2 linked regions of the Lepisosteus oculatus genome follow. The protein of the gene in region 2 interacts with the protein of the main gene of each other region in a pairwise test. Links are inferred from orthologs where the notes say so. Each region holds a gene or a part of one and is shown on either strand. Other genes may lie near its edges.

Region 1 (8,305 bases), on a different chromosome or scaffold from region 2:
CTGGCAGTGCCAAAAGCAAGTTTATTAACACTTCAAAGAAGGGTCAGATCTGTTTACAAGGGGGAGAAGCGTAGGCAACTCCAGTTCTTCTGTGCTGTATTTGTTTCTTTTTGTCATTCCTCAGACAGAAATCACTTAATCGCTTAATTGATCTAATCAAAGGGACAACAAGTCCAATCTTTTGTGTTTTGCAGGTCTAAATCAGGTTCTAATTGAAAGGTGCCTTCAAGACCTGCAGGGCTCTGGTTCTTAAGGAAGGTGTTTACTGAAGCTAAGCAGGTGTGAGCCTGGTCAGTACCTGGATGGGAGGTTGCTGCTGGAAGAGGTGTTAGTGGGGCGAGCAGGGGGTGCTCACCCTGCGGTCCATGTGGGTCCTAATGCCCCAGTGTAGTTACGGGGACACTATACTGTAAACAGGCGCCTTCCTTCGGATGAGATGTAAAAACCGAGGTCCTGACTCTCTGTGGTCATTAAAAATCCCAGGGTGTTTCTCAAAAAGAGTAGGGGTGTACCCCGGCGTCCTGGCCAAATTTCCCATCGGCCTTTATCAATCATGGCCTCCTAACAATCCCCCTCTATAAATTGGCTTCATTACTCTGCTCTCCTCCCCACTGATCGCTGATGTGTGGTGAGTGTTCTGGCGCACTATGGCTGCCGTCGCATCATCCAGGTGGGGATGCACATTGGTGGTGGTGGAGGGGAGTCCCCATTACCTGTAAAGCGCTTTGAGTGGAGTGTCCAGAAAAGCGCTATATAAGTGTAAGCAATTATTATTTTTATTATTATTATTATTATTATTATTACTGATCCTTGTTTTTACTAATCCCAGCTAAAAGCAAATTTCCTTCCTGCCAGACATAGCATAGGCATCACCTTAACTGATGCTCCACTATACAAGGTATTGTACAGTACATATTACTATACTGTCAGCTGTACGACATATCATTGAAAGTAAAGTGGTTTGGATAACCCCTTTGTCTTGGCAGAGATGCTTCAAGCACTAAAAACAATTTATAGTCCCAGAGAAAGAGAAAAATAAAAACGTTAACTGGGGACTTGAGTATTATATGATTAAGTAAACCGACTACAGAGCAACATGTTGTTTAAATCATGTTCCAGCTGCATATACTGTATGTGAGGTGTTTAAGCTGCCAGCTTTTCATGTCTTGGAGCTGAAAACAGGGGACAATATATACAGCACATTAGGATATGCATCAAATCCCTTTACCATTAGTCACAGTGGTGCAAACTACTGAAACGGTACTACAGAGATGACCAGGCAGAATGCTAGGAGATGTGCTATTGTAGAACATTATATCATCTATATTACAAAAAGACATACATAAATGCGGCTTTAACTCCAAAGTGTGAAAAAACACAAATAAGCCAAAGCAATATACAAATGCACAAGCTAAAATCACCGCCATTCAAGCTTCTATGTTGTGGGTTAGTTTCTAGCCTTGACTGACTTGGATGATTGTTATGCTGATCTGATTGCTATAAGGGGTTTTTTAGCGAACAGTCTAGGTAATCTGAGTCAAGGCCGATTTAGATTAGAATTCATTCTAATTCTACAGTGGGCTCACAGTAGTGAACTCCATTTATAAACTTATCTGTGCAATTCAGTTATATTCTACAAAGCTATCCCACATAACAGAACACGCTGCTGAAATTGATTTTTTTCATTTTTAAAACATGCAGTGAACAGAACAAAACCCAGAAAATGCATGTTATTCAGTTTTCCCTGTTTAAATTGTGTGTGAAGACTGTAATTGGGAAAAAATAGGAAATCAGAAAAAATGTATTCTTTAGATCCTTTTTATCAGTGTCACTGGGATTAAATGGAAATATAAGTAAAGCATTCAATATGTTACAATAATCTTATAAAAAATGTAGAACTAACTCTGAAGAAAATCTATTACTGTTGCTTGTCACTTGTAAGGTATTTTGCTGCCATACAAAAAACTGTCTTGGAATTTTGACTAAACCAATTAGTTATGCACAGATTTAGTTTTTAACACTTGCCTGTATTCCTATGTAGGCCACTGCCAGGATCTGCAGAGTGGCACTAGTTTGTACTGTGCAGTAAAGTCTTCAGAAACGTATTGATATTCCAGTGGATCAGTGTGGATATTTTATGACAGCAACCATTTTCAATTCTCAGTTCAATGTCTTGGCAGAAACAGAAAGTTTGGCTGTAATTTTTCACAGCGTTTTTCCCACTGCATAAAATGCACATGGCATTTGCTTCAGAATAATGTCAGTATCAGTGGGTTACCGTTCGCTCTGTTTATAACAACAGCCACACGTATTGTTCTGCAACTTGTATACTGAAGAAAAACTCATTGGCAACAGCTGGTTTAAGATATTGAAATATTTTAGATTTGAAACACATTTAAAGATGAAATAATCTTTTAAAAGAAGCACATACTTCCACCACAGCATTAGTCAAGATGAACTTCATATTGATTTATCCTACATTTTCTTTCAGTAAATAGGAAACTTACAGTTGTTGATACTTATTTATTAGCCAGTGTACAACCAGAATAGACAGTGGACTAGTTCAGGAAGTTAGTTTTCCAGACTATATCTATTAACAAAAAAAAGAAAACAGTATTTTCAAAAAGAAGAGTGAAAGGCATGAATATCATTATTTTAGCAGGTACATTAAGCATAGTTCATGTAAAAAAATACATTTTAAAGAGAGAGGGACGAGTCAAGCAGAGGAATTTGAAGCAATTATAAAAAGATAATTATTAAAACACAATCAGTGTGCACAGCTGAACTGTCACTGATGTTTCCTATCAAAGTATTTATAAAATGCTTTATAAATATGTAAATAGACATTAAAAAGTATCGCTTGTCTTCAAAAGATGAAGTGCAGTTAAACTTCAATTTATAACGAACAACAATATGCCACTTTTGCAAACTCTTTGGATACGTTACATCAATCAATAGTTTTTTTTATTCCATTTCTTATTCAAAAAGAGTTACCAGCATGACTGGTGCAATACTTCCTTTTTATACAGTATGTGAAACCCCACAAACTCATATGATAGCCCATCATAATCTGACTAGCTGTATGTGCTTGGTATTTCTTTACTCTGATTTTGAGGGATTCTTTGGAAAACAATTCAAGCAAGTAATTTTAAAATGGCCTCACAGTTTAAATATTGGAATTTCTTATTTGGTTTACAAATCTCTTTGACATAAGCTTGGAGCATTAAATGTCAGACGGATATAACAGCTTTCAACACCAGCTACCAAGCACTCCCTTCGCAAAACTGACAACTTAACTTTTACAAAACCACTTCCATCAGCTTAGAATAACACAGCAGTACCCTCTCAGAAACAATGAATTTATATCACTAGGAAAGCACTTGGCAGTCTTTAAAACTGAAATGGTTTCATTCATTTTGTAAATGGCTGTACACAATAACACAAAGTGAGTCACTAACGATATTACCACATCAGCTATGCTTTCTTCACACTCATCTCTCAATGTGTGATGTTTGGTTTACAGGCTGCCAGCCAACCTATAGCCTGCAAGGCAGCAGCTAAAATAAAGAAGCTATAGCTATTGAACTGCTCTGAGTCAAGAACTGAAGAACAAAGCACATGGCTATCTGCTTTCAAAAGCAGGGGTCACAAACTTCAGTCTGTGAAAGCAAGGAGATTTTCAGCTAGATGTTCCACCTGAGCTACGTACAGTAGTTGATAAATCAGACAATTTTAACAAACTTTCCAAGCCTCTATCTGGTAAGGGATACATTTATAAATGAAGCACTTATAATAATGTGGTCTCATTTTTAAATCAACTGCATACAACCTGAAGGAAATACTGAAAAATATTCTATGCTGCAATTATTTGTGCAAAAGAGTAATTTAGAACTCAGGCAATTTTGCACTTGCGCTCAAGACTCACCACTTAAGGACATTTAATTTTGCCTTACTAGATATGTACAGTAATACTACAAAATATGTATATATTTATACAGTAGCATGGCAATTAAAATTATATTTTATATTTAATTTTTCGATCTTTTAGGCTACATTAATATATCAAAACTAGATGTTTTTACAGATTTGTGGAAACAACAACATTTAAATAAATGAATTCCTTGTTTTTTCTTTTGTCTGACGGTAAGGTTGCCACTCACAAGGGGAGTTGTTTACATGAGTAATGTGAATTTAAATTGATCAGAATTCTGCTAACAGTGTGTATTGCTACATTTGAATTTGTATTAAGGGAACTTATACTGTGTAAAACCACAATGTTTCTGTTGTGACAGATCTGAAATTAATCAGATTTAGTCATTGCTATGGAAAACCCCATCTTCAAGTGAGCTAAATAAAGTAAGCTGATAAATCGTTAACTGCTGTAACTAACGTGATTTAGGCACCAGTACAATTGCAATTTGAAAGGCTTTTTAATTAAAACACATGACGGGTAAATTTCTTGTTTCCATTTTATCTTTTAATTAGAAAAAAAAACTCAGAATGTGTGTAAATCCATTTAGAGCAAACGAGGTAAATAAATTATAAAACATAAAAATTCCAAATGAAACTTTCTAGTTTGTAAAACATGGTCTGGTTTGTTTTCTTTTACGTCTTTTTTTCATTTCAAAGGAAGAAATACGCCAGAGATATACAGCTATCACCGTTGCTACACCAGGGGGTTCATCTTTTGTGTTTTTTGGCAAATGCACATCTTTTTGAAGTGATTCTGCGATCCAGCATGGGAAACACGAAATAATAATAATAATAATAATAATAATAATAATAATAATAATAATAATCGAGAAAGAAGAACCTCTCTATTTCTTGGCCTTCTTAAGAAGAAAAAAAAAGTGTTACTATCTGTCTGCCTCTCCTCTCAGAGGTCGCCTGTGATCCTGACCTCGAGAAGTCTTCGCGAACAAAATCTCTATCGGTCTCAAAGAATTTAACGCCGCTTCACACCTCCCTTCCCCAGCGCAGAAGTCAGGCCACATGAGCGCGCCTCCCCGCACAACTTTATCCCATTTCGCATTGACATTTCCTGCTCCATTCTCTCCCCTCCCCCGGCACCAGCTGCGCCAGAACGCGCAGCGCCCCCCCATAAACAGTGCTCGGGAACGCGCGCGGAGGCGGTCCGGCTGCTTCAGTTTCTGTCGGCTGCGTTCTGTCTGTGTATACGTTCTAGTAACGAAAGACAGAGATAGAAAGGCAGCGAGAGCGAGCTGCTCGGGAGACACTTAACGTCGGGGTTAACAACAGTGATTTCTAACACCGACAGCCACTCACCCCGCTGCTGACAGGTAAATGCATCAGTTTTACTTTGTGACTCCGCTCTGAAACTGCCTAAAAAGTGAGGAAATGTCCCGTGAAAGTGACAGTTTTTTTTTTTTTATTGTGGGGGGGATGTGCTTAGCTAGTGTCTTTGTGCTGAAGCAGCTCTCGCTGTGGTCAGTGAAGAAACCTTATGATTTCACACATTTTCAAGCAGCTCCTATAGTGTTCACTTGCAGACGGTGCTGTTTAATTTTAGAGTTCCTGCAGCCAGAAAGACGAGCTCTATCTTTAAAGGATTTGAAGCAAACAGACTCCAGTGCGTTTTACTCTCGGATGTAACTGTAAGGCCTTTTTAAAAGGCATCGTTTTGAGTAGTGCGCACAATTCGGAGCTTGCATTTTGTGCAGTTTAACGTTCATCTGCGGCATTTTGACAGGTCTGTATGGGAAGCGGGCATTTATTTACACAACAAAGGTACACAATGCTTTGAGTTTTCTTGATTCTTTTAATGTAAACACATCTAGACGCCGAAAGGGTTAGACACTCTAAAAACTCTAGGTATTTGTTTAACTTTATGCGTATATCCTTAAAAATAAACTGCACTTGGAAATATTGCCCTTGACAGATATAAGTTCATTATTCAACAAGATTTGAGATAGCAGTTTTCACGCTTGTTTACATCGATTCAAAGAGCTTTGTAAGATCAGCAATTCAGATTACTTGATATAATAAGATTGATTCTAACGTTTTTTTTTGTGAATTACCAATGAATTCTAGGGACAAGCAGCCTAATGTATTGTAGCTGTAAGGCATCAGATACGTGAAAGAAATGAACAGTAGAAATCAAAATAAACAGATCGTTAAAAAAAAAACAAATGATACTGAATCTGACAGAACAAGCACGTGCTTATGAGCTATCAGATATTTTTAAAGATTAACAGTCCGCACACCTTGTAATGCCTTGCCGGAACTCGTTAAAAACCATCATCTTAACTATTTTAAATGAAATGGGCTTTTATAGTCGATTAATTGCTGCTTTTTGGAGCAGTTGTGCACATGCACACCTCAAACAGACCAGTAAAACAGTAAACGTTTTTTCCGCTTTGTGTTCTTTATAAATAAACATCGAAATTGCTGGTCAAGAGGACTGCTGTTCACAGTTGAGATAAATAAATGTTACATTTAACAGCTATGAAAGTGCCACTTCTAACTAGTGGTATTCAGTTCGACTAAAACGTGCTGTGGGTTTGTAGACCTTAGGAAGCATGACCGAAAAACATCTCTTATCCGAGTACAGGGGTCGTGCTGTTGTTTTTAGAATTTTGTATACAGTGTCTTGTGTGAATGCTAAGAAATCTATCAAAACCTCAAATCCCCAGGTATATCTGTTTTTAAGGAATACGCATTTGCTATCACTAACTATGCACTAACAGAGTAGATGTACAGCTACATTTACTCTGTAGCATAACAATCTCAAGTTTGTGCGTTTGTCGTTGTTAAGCTTGCTTTGCTCCCAGTAGTTCTAAAGGCACTTACCTGCCAGACAAAACTAAGGCTAATAATTTTGTTAATTTAGAGATTAGCGTAATGGGTGAGAGCAATAATTTTAAATCAACATCTGTTCATCGTCATTAATTTATATGCTGTAAATGACTTTGACATTGAAAAGTGTACTGATTTGAGAGTGGATGTTTTTTTAATTAGATCAAATCCAATAGTTAGGATTTTTTTTAAAGTGATATATTTGTTTAAACGTACACATAACTATTTTGACCTTTTACAAAAGGAAATGTCAATCTTTCTGAGAGGTGATTATTGTTGAAATATGAACTACAGTTATAACAAAAGCAAGCATTTTTGCCCATATTTTTAGTGTTCCATAGCTTACTTATTTTGTTAAATTCAGTAAAGTGATTATTTTGCTATCAGGTGTCTGCAGTACATACAAATATACAGTATGTTAACTATAGAGAGAATGATAAGCATCTCAGTGTGACAGACTCTGGGAACAGCAGCTTACATGATGCTATCAACATGTAAAAATATCCATGCATGCTGCTATCAAGGATATCCTGGGTGCAGGAAAGTTTAGCTCAAACCTGACATTATAAGCAGGTTTCCAATAGCTGCATGGAGCAGGTACAGTGTGAGATGGGCAGAAAGCACATCTGGTCAAGAGCAGTGGTAATCAAAGTCTGGGTTATGCTTTGTGATTGGAAGGACCAAGATGTCCAGTGAGGTACAAAGACCCGATGACAGTCCCAGTACAAGCGGGGGAAGCTCGGATATAGACCAGCGGGAAAGTGTTCATCAGGAGCAGGAAAGAGAACAAACACAGCCCAAGAAGAAAGAGACAAAAATCTCCAGCAAAACTGCGGCGAAGCTTTCGACAAGTGCAAAAAGGTAACGTTTCCCAGTTCAGTGTGGCCTGCTCCTGACACAGAAGAGATTATGGAACAAGTAAAGGTTTATTCCGTGCTGAGAAGAAAAGAGATGAGGTGTCCACACCCGAAGAAGGCTCCATAGCCACAGACTTTGTGTCTTTTTTTTCCAGCTTGGAATAAACCTTTACTTGTTCCTCTGCAGCCTACGCATGCTGATGCAGATACCCACTAGGAAGAGATTAAGTGCAAAGAAATATCAGTAGCACTGTAAACAGAAACATGAAAGCGATCTGAATTTACAATTTTTATTACAGTTCCCACTGTATCTGTGACCTTTTTATATGAAGTACTCTTATGTTCCTTGTTAGACGCCTCATAGCTCGATAGTTTCAAATCTTAAAATTAGTGCAGTGGTTCTAGCCTCACATTACAGTTAAGCTATTAACTTGACTTTTTAGTATGTGATTCCAGTCAGAATTTTTCTCCTTCCCAACATTTAAGCGTACGGGAATTAAGTAACACAGAAATAGTGTGTTTCTCATTGGGTAGTTAAGATGTCTTTAATTCGTACTGATTTTCAGTTACAGTACCTGAAATAGACAATTGGTTATATTTGTGGATTTAGCTATGAATTCAGTTATTCACAT
Region 2 (8,396 bases):
CATCACTTTGAAAACTCGGGAATTTTGTCTTTAGCTCTGAGGGAATGGACACCTTCGTTTTGTGTTTAGGGACAGCAAAACAAAATATCACAGATATAATTTAAAAAGTGCTGTATAGTACTGGGTCAGATAAGACAGACATTGTTGCTGAGGGGCTGCGAAAAAATAATTCCTGTTCAGAACTAAAACTGAACGGGGTACCAAGCTAGACACGTCCACAACTCTATAATAAACACTCTCTTTTCATCCCAAGAACCATTATGCTTCGAAAACCTTTGGGGAAAAAGAACAAGGAAAAATCCCGGACGTTTTACGATATTTGAAAATTCCTTGGAGATTTAAGGACCAAAAAGGATGACATGTCACGGCATGTCCATGAAAAATGGCCGTATAGCAGTCCAGGTATAACTGTAGCATAGCGATCGATTATGTAGCATATTAAAACGTCGTTCTTCAATTCGTTATGGAAACAACACCTCCCGATACGCAATAAAGCAACAGGTCTGGGGAAATAAGTATTTTCCCAAGTGGCGCTTGTACGTTGCTGTACTAAACCTTTGCTCTTCGTGCTCTAAAAACACGACCATGTGATATGTTATAGTAGACTCCTGCGCCAAAAAACGTTTTCTTCAAACTCACCCGAACACATGTTAAATGAAAAGGGTGTCGCTAAAAGATCATTTGCACTAAACGTCTTTATTAAGAAGCCTAAGGTCTGTACCGAGTATTGAGCCACTACTATTTCCCCTGTACCAGAAGGAATGGAAACGATCAGTACAGTTAAGGAAAGCCACATACAACCATCACTACACAGGACCTTCCAATACAAAACACAGAAACGGCAAGTTTAAAAACACTTAAATGATAAGCACGCTTTTGACTTCTATCGGGTTTTCAGCGCTTCGTGGTTTCTTTTCAAAATGTTAACTAGTGGATCATATCCGCCACAATGTACAGTACCAGTACTACACTGTAGTTACTGTACCGGGTGTTTTGCTGCACTGAGACGAGACAAAATCGTGAACGCAGAAAACACGTGACTACTCACGGAGGCAAGAAACAAACAGGCCTAAACGAAACTGTGCGAAACCGCAATCCTGCGGAACTGGCACGTTTACAAAGCAATCGGACATCGAAGTTTTCTACACACCTAACCTGGCTGTAGGCCTTCGCCCATACAACTAAAACGGGCTGACCATTTTTCATGGGTCTGGAAGATGATCTCACGACAGCTCGATAAACACAAAGATGACATTCCACGTTTCCCTCATCAAAATATAAACTCACCGCCAGTCTGTATTATCTCGTGTTTCAGGCCACTGGTGTACTCGATCAGCTCTTCCAGTGTCCTATCGCAGTGCTGCCCGTAGCTCGAGAATTTCTGCAGCACTTTCTCCAGCTCCCGCTCCACATTAACACACTGATCCATGACGCTGCTCGTCTGCGCTACAGAAATACAATCAGAATTTAAGAAAGGGAAAGACACGCAGCGCCAAACACGCACACGAAAAAAAAATCAAAACCAAAACACCTTCACCTCAACTTTGGCGTAAGCAGAATGTTTTTGTTTTTAATGGACCTGAACATTGACCCGATTTCCAAGGGCGACACCAACAGGCTGGCACACAGGGGGGTGCCGAAAATATTAGGACCACGCGAAACATAACCAATTTTTCAGTATATACCTAAATGCAAAAATATATCTAAAGGAATAAGGTAGAATTTGTAGAAGCTTTAGTTACCTGCTGTTCTTAAGCAACACAGCACATTTTTATCAGTTATCACGTCCCCTGCTGTACCACGTGACAGGACCGAGCGAATCGCGTGACTGAGCGTAGCGGAACTTCCGTTTGACATCCCGAGTCCGCTCGGTCCGTGGCTTGTGTTTGTTTACCAATTTACGAAACTTCGTAATGATGTTTACAAATCGAAGTTTGTGTGACATTTTGAATATAGCTCCCTTCATCAATTCAGTGTGTAGTCATATAGATTTTTTATCCATTTATTAATGACCTACACGCACATTTTATTAACTGTTTGGCAGTAATATTATCGAACTACTCTGAAATCAGTGACGCAGCGAAGAGTTGCGCTGAGAATGTGGTTACACCAGAACTGCCACCGAATGCATTTAGCGCTCTGCACTTTGTGCATACTGATATGAATTTTGATCACATTGGTTTAAAGTTATGTTTTGATGATTATTTTACGTTTGACTAGCCAATTATATTTCAAATTAGTACTTATTTTGGAGAAAGGGGACGAAAATTAAAGAGAAGATGTGAAGCTTTTTATATTTATAAATGAGAGTTTGTGAAAAATATACACCTTAGATTTAGCAAGATTTTATGAATAATTAACAAGTGCAGTGATACACGTCTAAGTCAAGACTCTTAAATATTTTGTAAATGAAAACTTGGAAGTAATGTGTTATATACAATAGTGTGCAAAAGTCTGTGTTAATAATAATAATTACACTTATATAGCACTTTTCTGGACACTCCACTCAAAGCGCTTTACACCACCACCACTTCATCCATGTGCAGCATCCACCTGGATGATGCGACAGCAGCTCACCACACATCAGCTATCAGTGGGGAGGAGAGCAGAGCAATATAGCCAATTCATAGAGGGGGCTATGATTGGTAAGGGCCAATGGGAAATTTGGCCAGGACGCCAGGGTTACTCTTTTCAAGAAACACCCTGGGATTTTTAATGACCACAAAGAGTCAGGACCTTGGTTTTACATCTCATCCGAAGGACGGCACCTGTTCACAGTATAGTGTCCCCATCACTATACTGGGGAATTAGGACCCACATGGATCACAGGGTGAGCACCCCCTGCTGGCCCCACTAACACCTCTTCCAGCAGCAACCTTAGTTTTCCCAGGAGGTCTCCTATCCAGGTACTGACCAGGCTCACACCTGCTTAGTTTCAGTGGGTTGCCAGTTGTGAGTTGCAGGGTGATATGGCTGCTGGCTCATGTTGTGAGAATTAACAATTTACTCAAAGTCTCCACAAGTGTTGTGTAGTAGTATAACAAATAGAAGCTTGTCATTTTATTCATATTGGTGAGAATTAGCTAGCACCAGTATAGAAGAACTTGAGGTAACTTCCACATGAGTAGCACATATACAGGTAAGTGTTGTAGTAGTTAATTCTACACATTTAATAAATTTAATGAGGTTTTCCTTAGTGGGAATATCATTTAACAATAATAGTTAAATGGTCTGGTCCTTTGCTCATTTTACCCCGGACTAAATCAAAGACTTTTGGTGACTGTACCTTTTCTGTTGCTGCTCCAGTGTTATGGAATGACCTTTCTCAGACTCTACAACTTTTTTAAGATAACTTTTTAAAAAGCTCTTTGAAACGACTCAAAACTTTCCTTTTACCAAAGTCTACATCTGGTTGACTACATCTGTTAAACCCTGTATGCACTTGTTTATTTTTGTGTGTACTTTTTATTGTACTTTAATTTGTTTTTCTTTATTCATGATGTACAACGTCCTTGGGTTTGGAAAAGAGCTTTATAAATAAAAGTGTATTATTATTATTTATTTCTGTCCATACATCAATAAGCTTACAGGCTATGTTTGCATTGCAATATACAGATCTATCAGATTGAACTTATCTTAAAATGCAATGGCTATACTGTATATTCAAGAGAAGATAGCTTGAATTCTGTTTCTGCATAAAGCAGGGAAAACACTAAATGAAAAGGATAGAACAGTTTTACACAATAATGTGTATGTAAATACAGAAGAAAATAGTAAAGAAGGAAAATCACCAGAACAAGTCGGGCAAACATAGTAGAAAATACAAGTTCCTAAAATGTTTTTTTTTTGGAAGTCTTCACCCACTAGTGAATTGACTGAGATGGACAATGCTATATTTTTTTATTAATAACAGACACGATAGCCATGTAGCCATGCCATGGCTGAGACTTTTTTCTATGTGTATTTCAGTTACAACATTTAAAAAAAAGACAATTACTAATTTATCTAGGCACTACTTACTGCAGAGCCCAATAAAAAGTATGTGCCTGACTGATGATGACTGTTGTGTCTCTGCAACGGATGCGGTGTATTAACTCATTACATATATGACTATTTAATAATTTAATACAATAAGAAAACTGAGCTTTAAATTTCAGAGAAGTTTTGCCTATCAAACTACATGCTGTTTGGAAAGAAATTTAAATGAAAATTCTATACAGTTGCAAGAGAAGGAGAGGGAAATCACATTCTTAGTGCAAATGACTCACACAATTTCAACTGCAGTTTCCTCCGAGAGCATTCGGTACTTAATAGCTGTCTTAATAACATGTATAGCATCTGGAATATAAATAATATTTTTAAAGTGCTCATTGAAAACTCACATTCTTTGCTCCAAAAAGATATCAGTTATCCAACACTTAGTTGTACACAAAATCTATTTGACTAAAAACAAAGCATGTTTAATTGCCACTTTTAATACCTACTCTATTGTAAGAAGCTGATGTAGCAACTGCAGCTTCTATTCCTGCCTCATTTTGCCTATTACACATTCTGTATATTGGCAGGATAGAAAGCTGCAGTGTCTCTGCCATGTATGTTTGAGCATGTGGGTGTTCTGAGGGTTTGACATGGACACTGCTACACAACACAGAAGCGTTTGTTGTACTGTGAGACCAGATCTGCTGTTTTGTGAAGATATTTTCTAAAATACCATTCTTGGAAAATGTCAGTGCATTTTAAAACAAACCTTTTTAATGCTGCTAAACCCACGTTTTGCGATCTTTTCAATTTATATGCTAACATTAAAGTAATTCTGTTCCAGGATTCTTACAGTTTACATCACAACTCTACTAACCATATTTAAAGAATAAACACATCTTCTAAAGTCAATTAAATGTATTGTATCCAGACATTTTGGTCATGGTTCTTAGTTTGGTAAGTTTAAAAACGGTTTTAAATTACCACAGCCCGTGTAATCGGTTTATACTCTTACAGTATGCTGGAATCCAATGCGTGATATAAACAAGGTTTATTTTATTACGAATCCAAAAGCTTCGCTTCTTTTCCATTGGAAGAAAATGAAACAAGTCTCGTCGGTCCTTCCTGTCGGTGACGTCATGTTGTTATGCATGCCAGCTGATCTGGCAGGCAAGGCGCTCCAACATCAGCAACTGTAGGGACAACGGCAACTATCGCTTATCTAAAAATGCCGTGATCTGAACTCGTCATTACATGTCATGAATTTGCTCACAATTGGCACGCTGGGAGGGTTGGAATAAGCAGCAAAAGCTGACCATCTTATTGTTTTAGGGAGAGCGTAAATTAAGCTTTCGCACTGTATTTGATTTTTTTTTCCCCACACAAGACAACTTCTGAAAATGGTGGACATCCAGAGACTGTACAGTTGGCCTTAACGGGCCTTGTTAGCTCGCTGATCGTGGAGAGTGGATTGCTTCTTTGTTTTTTAAAAGTTTCAAGTTCAGCCAGCGCTAAAGGGGAAGCCTGCAAATGAAAGCAAGTCTTAGGAAGAAATAGACGAGCCCCAAATGCAACGTAGGTTACTCGCCTATTCCTACCCGGAAATCGTAGCGCCAGCGTTTTAAAAATATTCCCGTTGCAGCAAGGAGGTGGAAAATGTGGCTGAAGCTGTTTTTTCTGCTGTTGTATTTTTTGGTCTTATTCGTTCTGGCACGGTTTTTCGAAGCTGTCGTGTGGTATGAAACTGGTATTTTTGCAACTCAGCTGGTGGACCCTGTGACGCTGAGCTTTAAGAAGCTGAAGACGATACTGGAATGCAGAGGGCTGGGGTACTCCGGGCTCCCGGAGAAGAAGGATGTCCGGGAGCTGGTCGAGAAATCAGGTAAGTTCTAAAGCATTGTGTCGGAGCCAGAACGTCACAAAGGGTCCTCTTCATTCGACACGTCTCTATTGTGTTTATTTTTACACCTAAAGAATGGCAAGAAGAGCTAATTTGTGTAATATTTGTTTGTAAAAATTAACTGCATGGTTAAAAAAGCTACGGGAATTCTTTCCTTTGTAGCCCATGCTGCAAACATTCTCTCAAAGATATCGTTTGAATTACTTTAGTCTTAATAGAACGAACTAGGTGATATGATTATTTTTCTAAGATATTTGAGGTGTTCCACTATTTCGCACTAAGTTTACAAATCAACGGTTGTCTCATGTCCAAATTTTTTTCGTGCATAAATATTATTTTTACGGGGGTTCACAAACCTATGGTATTTCTAATACTTAGAGGTCAGGAAAGGGTCCCTACTTTTTTCTGCGGACAAGTGAAAAAGAGAACGCTTTAAAGCTTGTTATCTGTCACACGACCTAAGAAGCTAGAAAATACAGGGGTGAGTCTTCAGTTTAATTCAGCTACACAGAAATAAAGGAAACTTTTAGTATAATGCGACTAACGCCTAGAATCTAAAACAGAACAGAATATTTTGGTATTTACGCTACACGTTGTATCTGCGGGAGTTGAATGGCTTATTGACCACTGCTTCATTAACCCCTTTTGATCTTTTAAAGACTGGACAGCAGTGGTCAAGTCCGTGATTGTTCATCCAGAAATTCCTGAACACATTTCAAATTGTTGTAATTTTTTCCCCCTCGATAGTTTTCATTTTCTTTTCCATCTATATTAAACGTTTCCAAAGTACCGATAAGGAACGGTGGTGAATTCCTTTTCACTGAATCAAACAATATACATTCTGTGCCCTAAAAGTGATGTTTTATAACCCTTTCACAACTACCAGGAATCTCTTTTAAAAAAACTATCTTGAAAATGCATTACAACAGGTGGTTTATGCTGACCCTCTCCTAAAATGAAGGTTTTGAATCCATCCATTTGCATATGTTTTTAACTTAACTTCTGGGTTCAAAGAGCTCATTCGTTAGGTTGGTGTTTAAACTAAACTCTGCCAACAGACATTTTTTTTTGTTCTTGAGAAAGCAAGGAAAAATGCTGAACTTAACAGAAAAATTTCCATCATACCCCAGTACTGACATATATTTAGTGAGTAACATATCAAATATCCATGTATGTCCCACAACAGATCTGTTTTATTGCCTAGTCAGATGTACATGTCTGTTTTTTCTTCATTCAGCACTACTATTTCTGCCTGCAGGTGATCTCATGGAGGGCGAGCTGTATTCAGCTCTGAAGAGTGAGGAGGAGGCCTCGGATCCAGTCTCCAGCACCTCTTTTAGTGGAGAGATGCATTTCTATGAGCTTGTAGAGGACACCAAAGATGGCATCTGGTTGGTTCAGGTAAGAATGCGAGACTAAAGTGTTCTAGCTGTGTCCTTTTTTTTAATGGGAGTTGCTTTAAGTCATACCACTTTTGGGAATGAACAGTGAACCCTTCAAGTCAGTGAAATGCCCTGTGAAACCCCTGAAGCTTAAGTTTTACAGGCGTACTGCAGTCCCAGTTTCTCAGTCCGGTAATTAAATCTCGGTAACAAAATTAATTCATTGACATTAAAGAAAAATTTTACACATTTCGAATTAAGTACAAAATAATCAACTTTGTGAAAGTACTGTAAGTCGCCATGTTGTCGCAAACTCACATTTGAGTTCCCACGAATAGCAATGTGGCCCTTCCTGCTCACTAGTCACTGAAATGACTGATGTATGAGCGATTAAGTACAGGTTGTGCAGCAGGTATTTCATGGCTGAATTGTCCCAACATTATCTGCAGACAGAGTTCTGTCGGGGAAAAAGAGATGTATTCACAAACCTGCTTGTTTACAATGTTATAAGGCCGCAACACATCACCGGAAGTTTTGTTGCCTCATTCTGAATCTCAGAATATGGCTTTGCACATACCTGGAAATTCAGTGTATTTTGTGATGCAAATTGGAGGTTTTACACATTTTCTGTGTACATTTTACTTTCATTGTGGTTTGAAATGCACTCTTCAGTGCTGATTGTTTCTAATTAGAAATATAAAAATAGTGTTGCTGTTCCCCTTTTAAACAAATAGGAGGGAAGAATGGTCAAGTGGGTTTACTTACTCGAATGCAGCTGTGGCACAATCCTGGAAAGCCAGTTTTGTGTAATTCTGGAACTGAATTCTTCTGGCATTCTCCTCCTTAATTCCTTTATTTATTTAACTGCGACATATTATTTATCTTTTATTTGAACTAAAAAGGAAGTCATGGCTGGAGATCGTCACAAAAGACATCACTCTGTTTGTTCTTGGTCTGTCTGCTTTCTGTTCTCTGGCCTTGACTAACTTTTTAGTTAAAATAGAAGATACAGAATTTAAAAGCTATTGGAGCGGTGCGTTTTTATCGATTCTGTTTTAGTATCCAGCTGATTGTAGATCCTGCTTGAACAGAGCTGTTCATACTACTGTCCTGTTGTAATTTCTGGATACCTGACT

What was found. The genes of interacting proteins can lie anywhere in the genome.
Region 1: the proteins of rnf103 (region 2) and ube2e2 interact in a two-hybrid assay, tested with the Homo sapiens proteins (2 studies listed by BioGRID). The link is inferred for Lepisosteus oculatus from reciprocal best matches to the Homo sapiens genes RNF103 and UBE2E2.

Annotation. Positions count from the first base shown.
Region 1 is NC_090705.1:30,631,065-30,639,369, forward strand, and holds the start of ube2e2 (ubiquitin-conjugating enzyme E2 E2), read left to right. Parts: upstream 1-5,128; 5' UTR 5,129-5,300; intron 5,301-7,494; 5' UTR 7,495-7,501; coding exon 7,502-7,677; intron 7,678-8,305.
Region 2 is NC_090696.1:35,726,205-35,734,600, reverse strand, and holds the start of rnf103 (E3 ubiquitin-protein ligase RNF103), read left to right. Parts: upstream 1-5,040; 5' UTR 5,041-5,634; coding exon 5,635-5,860; intron 5,861-7,136; coding exon 7,137-7,279; intron 7,280-8,396. Other genes in the region: E3 ubiquitin-protein ligase RMND5A, read right to left, coding at 1,288-1,446, 1,743-1,857. UniProt on the Homo sapiens protein: Acts as an E2-dependent E3 ubiquitin-protein ligase, probably involved in the ER-associated protein degradation pathway.